Linked DNA regions of Arabidopsis thaliana. The protein of the gene in region 1 binds, or shares a complex with, the protein of each later gene. Each region holds a gene or a part of one and is shown in the gene's direction. Other genes may lie near its edges.

The links.
Region 2: NRPB12 (region 1) and NRPB10 share a complex: the UniProt entries of both Arabidopsis thaliana proteins name them as parts of the RNA polymerase II.

Annotation. Positions count from the first base shown.
Region 1 is NC_003076.8:16,421,086-16,427,518, forward strand, and holds NRPB12 (DNA directed RNA polymerase, 7 kDa subunit), read left to right. Parts: upstream 1-2,833; 5' UTR 2,834-2,964; coding exon 2,965-3,004; intron 3,005-3,160; exon of another isoform or gene 3,161-3,304; intron 3,305-3,387; coding exon 3,388-3,480; intron 3,481-3,813; coding exon 3,814-3,836; 3' UTR 3,837-4,239; downstream 4,240-6,433. Other genes in the region: YSL4 (YELLOW STRIPE like 4), read left to right, coding at 1-176, 405-577, 678-775, 869-1,006, 1,107-1,296, 1,409-1,541, 1,684-2,612; AT5G41020 (myb family transcription factor), read right to left, coding at 4,798-6,433; AT5G41025 (uncharacterized protein), read left to right, coding at 5,594-5,866, 6,105-6,350. UniProt on the Arabidopsis thaliana protein: DNA-dependent RNA polymerase catalyzes the transcription of DNA into RNA using the four ribonucleoside triphosphates as substrates. Component of RNA polymerase II which synthesizes mRNA precursors and many functional non-coding RNAs.
Region 2 is NC_003070.9:3,860,478-3,865,991, forward strand, and holds NRPB10 (RNA polymerases N / 8 kDa subunit), read left to right. Parts: upstream 1-1,921; 5' UTR 1,922-2,042; coding exon 2,043-2,078; intron 2,079-2,281; coding exon 2,282-2,340; intron 2,341-3,106; coding exon 3,107-3,201; intron 3,202-3,302; coding exon 3,303-3,328; 3' UTR 3,329-3,597; downstream 3,598-5,514. Other genes in the region: AT1G11470 (Pentatricopeptide repeat (PPR) superfamily protein), read right to left, coding at 1-45; AT1G11480 (eukaryotic translation initiation factor-like protein), read right to left, coding at 3,891-4,350, 4,476-4,537, 4,623-4,659, 4,779-4,957, 5,052-5,514. UniProt on the Arabidopsis thaliana protein: DNA-dependent RNA polymerase catalyzes the transcription of DNA into RNA using the four ribonucleoside triphosphates as substrates. Component of RNA polymerase II which synthesizes mRNA precursors and many functional non-coding RNAs.

The DNA of each region.
Region 1 (6,433 bases):
AACAATCGGAATCATTCCTTCGCTTAATGTAGCTGCTGGTCTTCTCGGCTTCTTCTTCATCAAGTCGTGGACTGGGTTCTTGTCTAAATTAGGGTTTTTATCTAAACCCTTTACTAAGCAAGAGAACACTGTTATTCAGACTTGCGTTGTCTCCTGCTACGGCCTTGCTTATAGCGGTAAAAATCGTTACTTGCTTAGATATGGGTTAATAGTAATCTTCTTGATTTGGTTACGTTTAGTTTCAATTCCTATGTGTTGATGATGAACAATGGGAGATATGGATGATACTAACTTTGGATCCACTTGATGACTTTGCTGAAGGGAACTGTAGCTATTCCAGATTTATGATGATCAAGTTTGATTTTTTTGTGTGCCTAATCTGATATAGTTTCTTGTTTTTTTAGGAGGATTTGGTTCGTATTTGATAGCTATGGATGAAAGGACATATAAGCTCATTGGTTCTGATTATCCTGGAAACAATCCTGAAGATGTTATAAATCCTGGATTGTGGTGGATGACTGGCTTTTTATTTGTAGTTAGCTTCCTCGGTCTCTTCTGTCTCGTTCCACTTCGCAAGGTAGCGTCTCATTACTGCGATATTAGTATTAATCAAAACAAAATATCTAAGAGAACACTATTGTTTGATCTGTTGATCCTTATTCAATAGTGTATCTTAGGTGATGATTTTGGATTACAAGCTTACGTATCCCAGTGGAACCGCTACAGCAATGTTGATTAACAGTTTCCACAACAATACTGGAGCTGAGCTTGCAGGGTAATTGTCAGAGATTCATCTTCAATATTCAACTCCCTGCAAAACATTGCTTGAGTTTCATTAAAAATTTATCTCCAATATTATTCACATCAGAAAACAAGTCAAATGTCTTGGGAAATACCTGAGCCTTAGCTTAGTTTGGAGTTGCTTCAAGTGGTTCTTTAGTGGTATTGGAGGTGCATGTGGGTTTGATCACTTTCCCACACTTGGTTTGACTCTATTCAAGAACACGTAAGTTAACCAATTTCGTACAGTTTAACAATAAGTAAATGAGAATGGTTTAGCATGTGGATATAATTGGTAACGAGTCATGATTTTTTCTGCTGTGCAGGTTTTACTTTGATTTCAGTCCTACTTTTATTGGATGTGGCATGATATGTCCCCATTTGGTGAACTGTTCGGTTCTTCTTGGTGCTATCATCTCTTGGGGTTTTCTCTGGCCATTTATATCACAGCATGCTGGGGACTGGTATCCAGCTGACCTTAAAGCCAACGATTTCAAAGGTCTCTATGGATATAAGGTACACAATAAACCGATTAAGTAGGAAGAATTTAATGTTAGTAGATGAATTTCATAGGTACTCTCATTGTGGTGGTTACTGATTCTCTTTCATATAATTACTGTACTTATAGGTATTTATCGCCATTTCTATCATCCTTGGTGACGGTCTCTACAACCTCATTAAGATCATTGTTGTCACTGTGAAGGAAATCTGCAACAAAAGCTCCAGACAACACAACCTACCTGTCTTTACCGACATTTTAGGTGCGAATATATATGATCCTGATTCACAATCGCGTTTGTTAGTAATAGTCATAGTTATTAATAAAGGTGTCTCTCATGACCATACTGACAACGTCTGTCTCAAATATTTTCTTAAGAGTTTCTTTCTCCATTCTTAATTCAGATAAAAGTAAGACCTCAGTATTAATGCGGGAGAAGAAGAAAAGAGATATCATATTTCTCAAGGACCGTATACCCCTCGAGTTTGCGGTTTCTGGTTATGTGGGTCTTGCAGCTATTTCAACCGCTATAATCCCGTTGATATTCCCACCATTGAAATGGTACTTTGTCCTCTGTTCATACTTAGTTGCCCCGGGTCTTGCTTTTTGCAATTCTTATGGAGCCGGGCTCACAGATATGAGCATGCCTTCAACCTACGGAAAGACTGGTCTTTTCATCGTTGCTTCAATTGTAGGAAATAATGGTGGAGTCATTGCCGGTTTAGCAGCATGTGGCATTATGATGTCAATCGTCTCAACTGCAGCGGATCTCATGCAGGATTTTAAAACAGGTTACCTCACACTATCATCTGCAAAATCCATGTTTGTAACTCAGCTTTTGGGTACAGCAATGGGTTGCATAATCGCTCCTCTCACGTTCTGGCTGTTTTGGACTGCTTTTGATATTGGAGATCCTGATGGTCTATACAAAGCACCTTACGCGGTCATCTACCGCGAAATGGCTATTCTCGGGGTCGAAGGCTTTGCCAAACTGCCCAAACACTGTTTGGCACTTTGTTGTGGATTCTTCATCGCTGCTCTGATTGTAAATCTAATTAGAGACATGACACCACCAAAGATCTCTAAGTTGATACCACTTCCAATGGCAATGGCTGGTCCATTCTACATAGGAGCTTACTTCGCCATCGACATGTTCGTAGGAACCGTGATAATGCTCGTATGGGAACGGATGAATAAGAAAGACGCAGATGATTACTCGGGTGCAGTAGCTTCAGGTCTGATCTGCGGAGATGGAATTTGGACCATCCCATCCGCAATTCTTTCTATATTAAGAATCAATCCACCCATTTGTATGTACTTTAGACCATCCTAGACATTGTTATCATGTTAAAAATTTGTTGCATTATGGCAGATAATAGAGTTTTTATATCTCACTCTAGAACACAAAGTGCCAATAGCAACAAGTATGTGGCATAAAGTCAAACAGACAAGGTTGACCAACGAAACTTTATTTGGGCTTATTCTGTAAGCCCATAGACTTTTGTTAAGAAGCCCATACGAATCTCTTTCCTCGTCTTTTCGACCGAAATTATTAAAACCTCTAATTCCTCCTCAAAAACCCTAAAATCCCAATTGAGAAAATTTAGACGCTCAAGGTTTTGTTTACATCTTGTCCGGTGGCTTGAAACAAATTCAACTTCTGCGTACTGTTTCTTTGTTGAATCATGGATCCAGCGCCCGAACCCGTTACTTACGTCTGCGGAGGTAAGCTCGACTTGAAAACTTCATCGAACATCTAATTTTGCTTTGAAATCAAAGTTTTGTTAGTATCTGTAAAAGATTGTAGCTTTGTGAAAGTAAATGCTAAAGTTGCCTCTTTTGAGTAGCCATATGAATCCTAATCTATTAGGAAATTTCATAATCTGGCTTAGTTAGGAGGCATAAATCAATCTTGATCATCAATACTTTACTGTATTGTATTGATCTATTTGACTTGAGGTCTTTTTGAGGAGGAGCTTTGCTTCTGCTAAGTATCAAGCTTCTCCCAAGCAGCCTCAGACATATACACTTTTAAACCAAAATTCATAAGTAAAAAGGTTGTCTTCGTTTTATGGGTTTGCTTAATTTCTTATTTTCTGTATCATCAGATTGTGGTCAAGAGAACACTTTGAAGTCTGGGGATGTGATCCAATGCAGAGAGTGTGGGTACCGTATTCTCTACAAGAAGCGTACCCGTAGAGGTGACTTATTCTTAATCCTCCTTTTGTTTTGTAATGTTTTTAGCTTTCTTTGATTCCTCTTTTTTTGGATCTTGTTCCTAGTTTATAAAAGTGATGGCACCATTTTGAATGCGTCTCAACATATACATGATATCGGGATCCTTTTTTAAGTCTTGATCATAGTTTATGATACTGATGGAACGATTTTCAGTGTGTCTTATATAACGCAAATGTTCTAAGGATCCGGTTTCCGAATTTATCTTGAGATTGTTAATCTGTTGGTTTTCTTGTACAAAATGTAGATGTTGTAAACTTGTTTCCGGCTAATTTATTTGATGGTTTATTCTCTTGCAGTTGTTCAATACGAAGCTCGCTGAGAACTACTACTCCTGAAGGTGGTTCATAGTCTGTTAAGATGGGTTGAGACTTTTTGGCACTGTTTGTGATATATATATCGACATGGTGATTGCTACATTGCCAGTTCGATTTGATTTGGTCACAGTGTGACTGTGTAATGACTTTACCGTTTTGATAGATGTAATTCTTGGAATAACTAAGTTCACATTGCTATAATCCTTGATTGGCTATAATCTCTCGTTGTTTTGCTACCTTTGTTCTTTAGTGTACTCTGCATTTAGTTGATCAGATTCTGGTGGTGGAAAAGGTAGTGACTACCATATATCAATCTTGTTTGCTACATATTAAGTGTTCGGAAGAAATCGAAGAGAGACATGAAGAGAACCCACCACAATGTTACTCTCAAAATACCTTTTTAGTACCAAGCAGATGGATAAATTAGTGTGTTAATATCTGTCTAACGAAACCTTTGGTAAGTCCTATAGGCTATGGCTACAAATAGAAGAGTCAACACAAGAGAATAATCGCGGCAAATATGCTCTCTATTAGCTTTCATCAAATACAAACTATGAGTTTTCAATCTCATGATACATTTATCTCGAATACCAAATGCTATGAAATAATCTATACGTTACTAAATACTAGTACTCTCTTCGGGTGGTTACTTCACTATTTCATATCATTCATTACCGAATTTACAAGCCTTAATTGCCATTGCTATCGTCCTTGGTGACTGTATCTAAAACCTGGCTAAACTCATTGTTGTCGCTGATAAACTCTTCCAACAAAAGCTCCAAACAAAACCAACTGTAGCATTTTTTTTTTTTTTTTGTCAAAACCAACTGTAGCATTTATATAATAGTCTGGGTTATCAAAATCAAATACATTCTCAGAGTTTCTATCTGCTGACATAAGAAAGTACCAACACATATTATCAAACAATAAAAAGTACCGAAAAACATGTAAGGTATGGTTCCAAACTTAATCTTCAGGATCATAGGGTCTGTTGTCAAAATCCTCTCTGTCCTCAGCTATGTCAGGGCAATACCTGTCAGACAAAATCTCAACTTGTTCTGCAAATGTTTTCGATTTCGGTACGCCGATATGAATGATCATCTGGTTCCACCGTTTTCTACAAGCTTCTCCATCTCGATTCTCCAAAAGATTATCCCAATCCACATCGTCGATACAAGCAGCATCCAGTTTCAAAAGCTCTTCCAAGAGCCTATAGTCATCAACGTTAGCCCACATTCCCTTTGCTACCATTGGTGATATCAACTGCTCATACCATTTCTGGCAGCAAGTCACGTGGTCCCGTGTTTCAAGTACGTCGCTTATAGCCATCCAAGGGATGTTATCTTTGAGCATACCATGTTTTGAGTGTTTCTCTTTGAATGCTTTCATTCTAAGGTCTTTGTTGACAAGGTCAAAGAGGTTTTGATACTCCTCCCTCATCCAATGTCCTTTCTTCTTACCTGCCAATCTTCCTCTCCTCCAAGCGTCTTTCACATGCTTCCTGTGCTTACCCATTGCATCTGCAAGTGTTTTCCAATCATTCCCGTGTGTCTTTTGAAACTCCATAACGAGTTCAATATCCTCTTTCGTCCATATCCCCTGAGATCCTGCTTCAAATATAGTATGTGCACGATGATACACACTATTATAAGTCCTCCAAGGTAAAGCAGATGTAATTTCTTTCCAACAGCCTTTAAGTTGTGGGTATGCCTTGCATTCCATAACCATCTTTATCCCCTCATCTCCTAAAGCATGGTTATCAATGTATTCTAATACAGCATTCTTTACCATCTCATCTTCTTCTTTTGTAAACCGCTTACCCCTCACCACCTTAACTTCTTCTTCATCATCATCTTCCGTTCCTTCATCATCATCACTAGGAAAAAACTCCACTTGGTCAGAAAACTTCACCCTTTTACTTGATGTAGATGGGGTGGTCAAGTCTTCATCACTTTTATCAGACTTTTCTTCAGCCTCAGAGACTTCACTTTGCTTCTTCTTCTTCTTCTTCTTCCTTCTCTTCTTTGCGTCTTTGGTAGAGTTCAAGCCGTTTTCTTCAGTCTCTGAATCCTCACTTTGTTTCTTTTTCTTCCTTTTCTTCTTTCCATCATTTGTAGAGTCCAAATTGATATCTTCAACATCTGAATCCACACTTGGTTTCTTCTTGTTGTTCTTCCTCTTCACCTCCTTGTCTATGTTTTCTTCAGCTCCCAAATCAGTATCATCCCGCTTTCTTTTTCCCTTTTTCTTATCAGATACTTTGGAGCTTTCAGTATTTTCTATCACATCACCACCAGATTCTTTCTTGCTCTTCTTCTTCTTCCTCTTCACACCATCATGAGCTTCAGAATCAACCTTTGTCTCCTTACTTTTCTCCTTGGATTTCTTCTCCACACCATCATCCTCAGCTTCGGAATCAGCCTTTGTCTCCTTACTTCTCTTTTTCGATTTCTTCTTCACAGCATCAACAGCTTCAGAATCAATCCTTATTGGCTTCTTCGACTTCTTCTTCTTCTTAACTATAAAAACCTCATCACCTAGTTTCTCACTTTCACGCCCAGTTATCTCCATATCTTCTCCAGTAAAACCATCCTTATTCTCT
Region 2 (5,514 bases), on another chromosome or scaffold:
TCTCGCGATCTTAATCTCAGCAGAAGAAGAAGAAAACGGAGCCATTGTTCTCGTAAGCGTAGAGATCTTCATCTCTCTTTTCCATAGATGAAGAGAACCTGATGATACCATTCGGCGCAAGGCCAACATTTTCCAAACCCTAATTTTGATAACCCTAATTCTCTAATATATAAAACAATCAAGTTGCCTTGTTAAAATCAGGATATGATCTCTCTTATATTAGTAGGTTACTTACACAATTACCTACATCTTTGTCGATTTGTCAGTTTGACTTATGAATCAGTCTACTAGATTGTAAAAATAAATAAAACGATGAAATGTCTATAATACCCCTAACTCTACACACGTGTGAACTTTTTGAATAGTACTGGACCCGGGTCAACCACACACAGTAGACACGAGCCTTCTTCTTCTTCTCTAAGCGAGTGAAGTAAGCTTACCAGTGGCAGTGAGTGAGCTCTTACCAGTGTTTAGGGTCTTCTGCAATTTTCCTTGTTTTGATCGGGAGCTTGATCAAGACTACTGATGCTGAGATTTACGAAAATTGCCAACGGTCTCTATGTTCCCGGTGACAGTGAAGCTCTTTACGCTTCCAAGTTTCAAGACTCCACTGCTACTTTGACTTCGCCTATCTCGCTGGTACAAGGTCTGTGGAGGTTACAGTATGGGTGATAACCTTTTCCTTCTGCGAGGAAAGCATTGTCTCGGCTTTTACTTTTGTTCATAACTTGTGGATATTGGATAGTAAAGCCTACCACTAATGGCATAACATTCAGGATGCTTCTTGGTGTGCTATGATTTGTTATAAGCGAATCACTCTCGTTGGCTAAACACTTTGAGAAAATGACTCTTAAAATGCTCTCTTGGGCTATACTGGAAACTTGCTGTGTTCAGTGGATCTTCAGGTCCTTGTTGACAACCATTAACAAGCTTAAGGTAAGAATAAAGAAACCAACAATACTTTCAGTCCTTTGATGATTTATAATTCCATAACAGACTAAGGGCAGTGCATATAGATATCTTTCGTACTCATCTGCTTTTTCTGGTCTCCATCACAAAAGCCAACTAGGTAATCATATCAATCTCTCTTTACCGTTTACTCGACCTTTTCCAATCAGGTGCTTCTGGTGTGTCTACTACTATCAGTTTTAGGTCTTTGTATACCTGATCTTATCTGCTACTGAGGCTTGTAAAAGTGATTAAAACTGTGACATTTACTCTAAGAGAAGTAACCTGTTTGATGCATTTCCCTAATATACCGGTGTGGAAAAGTGTAGGTATCTGTACTCAGCTGAAATGGTGGACGATTTTGAAGAAGATGAACTCTCATTGACTGAAAGCGGGTTGAAGAGTGAAGATGGCGTTATTATCGAGATGAATGTCTCCTGGATGCTTTTATTATCATGTTTGGGAATTTACCAAGGGAGAGGTATCAGAATCTATCTTAGAAGGTTACATTTAGCTCAAGCTTGCATCAACATCTTTACTTAGAGCTCTACGGGTTTTAGTGTGTTTGAAGTTTCTTAACTCCTAGTATAATTAGAATCTTCTGCAGCAGACTTTAGAGTTTTGGGATGTAGAGCTAACCAGAGTCGGTTTGTTTAAACTAGAATCTTTTTATGTAGCAGACTTGTTCAGTACCTGAATACCAGTTTTAAATTACCGTCAGATGTTGATCTTGTTGGTAATAATGGAGAAACGGAAGAATAATTAGACGAAACAAACTCTTTAAGAACGTATCTTTCAGTTTTCCATCACAAATTTTCTTACAAGCTACAAAAATCGAACTATATATAACTGAACCGAATTTAAACCGGAGGGAGGGTTTGACTTTGGTCAATCACATTTCCAATGATACCGTCGTTTGGTTTGGGGAAGCCTCGTCGTACAAATACGACGTCGTTTAAGGAAAGCCCTCCTTAACCCCAGTTATAAGCTCAAAGTTGTACTTGACCTTTTTAAAGAAGCACGAAACGAAAAACCCTAAAATTCCCAAGCAGAGAAAGAGAGACAGAGCAAGTACAGATTTCAACTAGCTCAAGATGATCATCCCTGTTCGTTGCTTTACTTGTGGAAAGGTTGATATTTTCCCCTTCGCTTTGGTCTTATTTAGGGTTTTACTCCGTCTTTATAGGGTTTTAGTTACTCCAAATTTGGCTAAGAAGAGATCTTTACTCTCTGTATTTGACACGAATGTTTTTAATCGGTTGGATACATGTTGGGTCGATTAGAGAAATAAAGTATTGAGCTTTACTAAGCTTTCACCTTGTGATTGGTTTAGGTGATTGGAAACAAATGGGATCAGTATCTTGATCTTCTCCAGCTCGACTACACTGAAGGGTAAGCTTACAATGATTCTCACTTCTTGCTGCTCTAATCATCATACTTTGTGTCAAAAAGAGAGTAATTGCTTTGCGTTTTAGAGAAATTAGCCCAGATTTCGTATTGGGTCTGTGAAGTTTCATATTAGCTAACACACTTCTCTAATTGATAACAGAAGCTATAAAATAGATTTGCTGATGAAGGAGTTAGCTTTTTATAATCTTCTGTGTTTGTGTTTTACTGTCTGTGTCATTGGAAGAGACTATGTCCTGCCTATATAATCTCTATGTGCCTATCTAGATTTTCTATACAATTGATATTTGATAGAAGTAGAAAGTAAGACTTAAGGTCTTTTGATTAGACTTGTGCCCATCTACATGATTCTTATTGGACTAATCATTCTTTGTGTGAAAATAGAATACTTTGTCTGAACATGAGAGAATGGTTCATAATACGTGTGAAGTATGGGATTAGTTCAACAATTTCGCTATTGGAGAAGCAAACCAAGGGTTAATCGTTTATAGGGTTAAGCTAATGCTCTGCTCTTTATATGTTATTGGAACAGACTATTGTTGTGCCTATCTTGTTTAGTTGTAGATTCTATCTCGACTGTTATAAGTATGACTGAAGGCTTGATGACTTATGATTCTCTTTACACCTGTAGAAGGATTTAAGCTTGGTGTCTAGATATTCAATCTGTGTTGGTTTTGTCTTTCTTTTGGCTCTTAGTGTTGTTCAATCTCCTCAATAGGTATGAAGTTACAATATCCTTATTATTTTGCAGGGACGCACTTGATGCACTCCAGCTAGTCAGATACTGCTGCAGGCGTATGCTAATGACTCATGTTGATCTGATTGAGAAGCTTCTCAACTACAACAGTATACTCTCCAAACTCTTATCATATGTTGTGTATCTTTTGACTCGGACGTTATTGTCCTTTTCGATTTATTTACTGGTACCCACGTACTTTTCCTTGCAGCTCTGGAGAAATCAGACAACAGTTAGAAGAGGATGCAAATCTGCTGAAAAAGTTTTCCTCTTTAGAGGCTTAAATATTAGTATGTATGAAAACATTTGGTGTATGTGGTGTAGACCCTTCAACTCCATCTAAAATTATATATGTGTGTCAGTTACTTTCTCGTGTGATTCAATCTCATGATTTCCTGACCTTGAAGATTTCTCCTTTGGATTCATGTTTCATTAGTATTATTGAGGTGATTTTCATGGCCATAACTGAAAACCTTTGAGAAAAGAGTTAAAAGTCACTGGTCTTCATAACCTTTTGTATACAAAACGCAAGTACAACAGAATCGTCCAACTGTTTAGTGTGTTCAGGCTCGGGCAAGAGTTTTCAAATCTTCCAAACGAACGGTTAAAATAAAATGTATAACCAAAGAAGAATGAAGAACACAGTGTAATCATATCTGGCTTATGTAACCCGACCCCGTTCTTAAGGGAACATATCACATTCAAATCTCCAATAACGATCCCAAACCACATAAGATGTGTTATTAAGATCCAATTAATCGGGACTAAAACCAATTCGAGAGAACAAACGAACGATGACTCAGTACCCATTAATCTGTCTTCCTGTTGTTGTCGATCCTACCAACCGAGAGAAGGGTTGCTGCTGCGTTTGGTTGTTGCGGCTTTTGTTAAAACTGTTGCTGCTTCCAATTCCAGATTTAGGGTCAGAGAAAGGAGAATAGGCTTGAGCTAGCTCAAGAGCAGAAGCTGCTTTTCCGTGACGAATCCCTGTTCCATTTGGTGAATCCAGTTTCTGGGGAACCGGCTTTCGCCATGTCTCTGGTGATGGATGTCTTGTCTTCTCCTGAGTCTGCTGTTGCTGTCTTGCGCTCTTGTTTTCATTTTCACGCCAGTTTCTCCTCTGAGTTTCGGATCTGGCAATGTCGCTTACATTTCGCCCATCCTTTTGGTCGAATTTCCTCGTTCTCATGTCACGTGGAGAACTCACTGGCCTTTGACTTGCATGCTCTGGAACTCTTTCAATCGGTTTGAGGACCATCCTTTTGATATAAAAGAAAAAACAAAAACAGAACTTTAAATTAGATAGTTGGTCTCAATGGAATCGTAAGTGTTGGATCGCAGAAAGTATACACAGAATGTGAGTGGGTAGAGAAACCCGTTCTACCTATCTGTCGGTTGATCCAATTTGTGATGCTCGGGCTCATCAATGCCTCTCTCCTTCAACACCTGTCCAGGAAATCAAATGATGATAAACAAATGGACAACATAACAAGAGTGAGTTATACAACAAGATGAAACAAACTGCACTCACCAGCTCTCGTGGTCTGGCACCACCAAAAACCGCACTTCTGCACCAGCCAGTACAAATTTTAAGAACAATTCTTCTATATAACTATAGTTATGTCCCCAAGCTCCAAAATAATTATTACCGAGCTGGGACAAAAAAATGTAAGTACCACATTGTTACCTGTCCTTTTCAGTTTTAACTTCTGGCTGCTCAAGCAACTGTGCCACAGGCTTCAGATTCAACTTGGGCCGCTCAGCCGGCTGGTTAGGAATCTCATCTGTAGACAAACCAGATTTTGAATTGTTGAAACTTTTCTGTGTCGCATTTTCACGTTGTATAAGGACTGAAGCACTATTTTCCTGCAGATACAAAACTGAGGTATCAGAAACATAGTTGAGGAAAAAAGAAACCTGAAAACTAAAGTGGCAGTTCAGAAACTTGTAACAACTATACCAGTTTTTCGTCATTCACAGGTTTCTCCACACTTTCAAGTGGTTTTGTCCGAGGAAGCAGGTTCAGCTTAGGTCTTTCCACAACTTCAGAAGGGGCAGTTGGCTGCACCAAATGTCCAGCAGGCTTAACGTCAGAGTATTTTGGATGAGGTTTATCGTTGGTGTTTGCTACAATTTTCGCTTCCTTAGCATCCACATAAGTTGGACCAGGGATTTTCTCATACTCACGGGAGAGTTTTTTCCCACGCTGGATCCCATCTTCAGCAATCAGTGCCCGTTCTACATGTGTTCCATGTGGCTCAACCCCTTGACTAATCACAGGGCTATTAGTCTTATAAACTCTGGTATCTATCTCTGAATGCTTAACAACATCAAAACCCATCTGAGAAGGAACCAAAAGCTTGGACTGCCATCCTCCTGAAGACACTTGGTCAAGCGCACTTGTATGGACCAAATTCGAAACA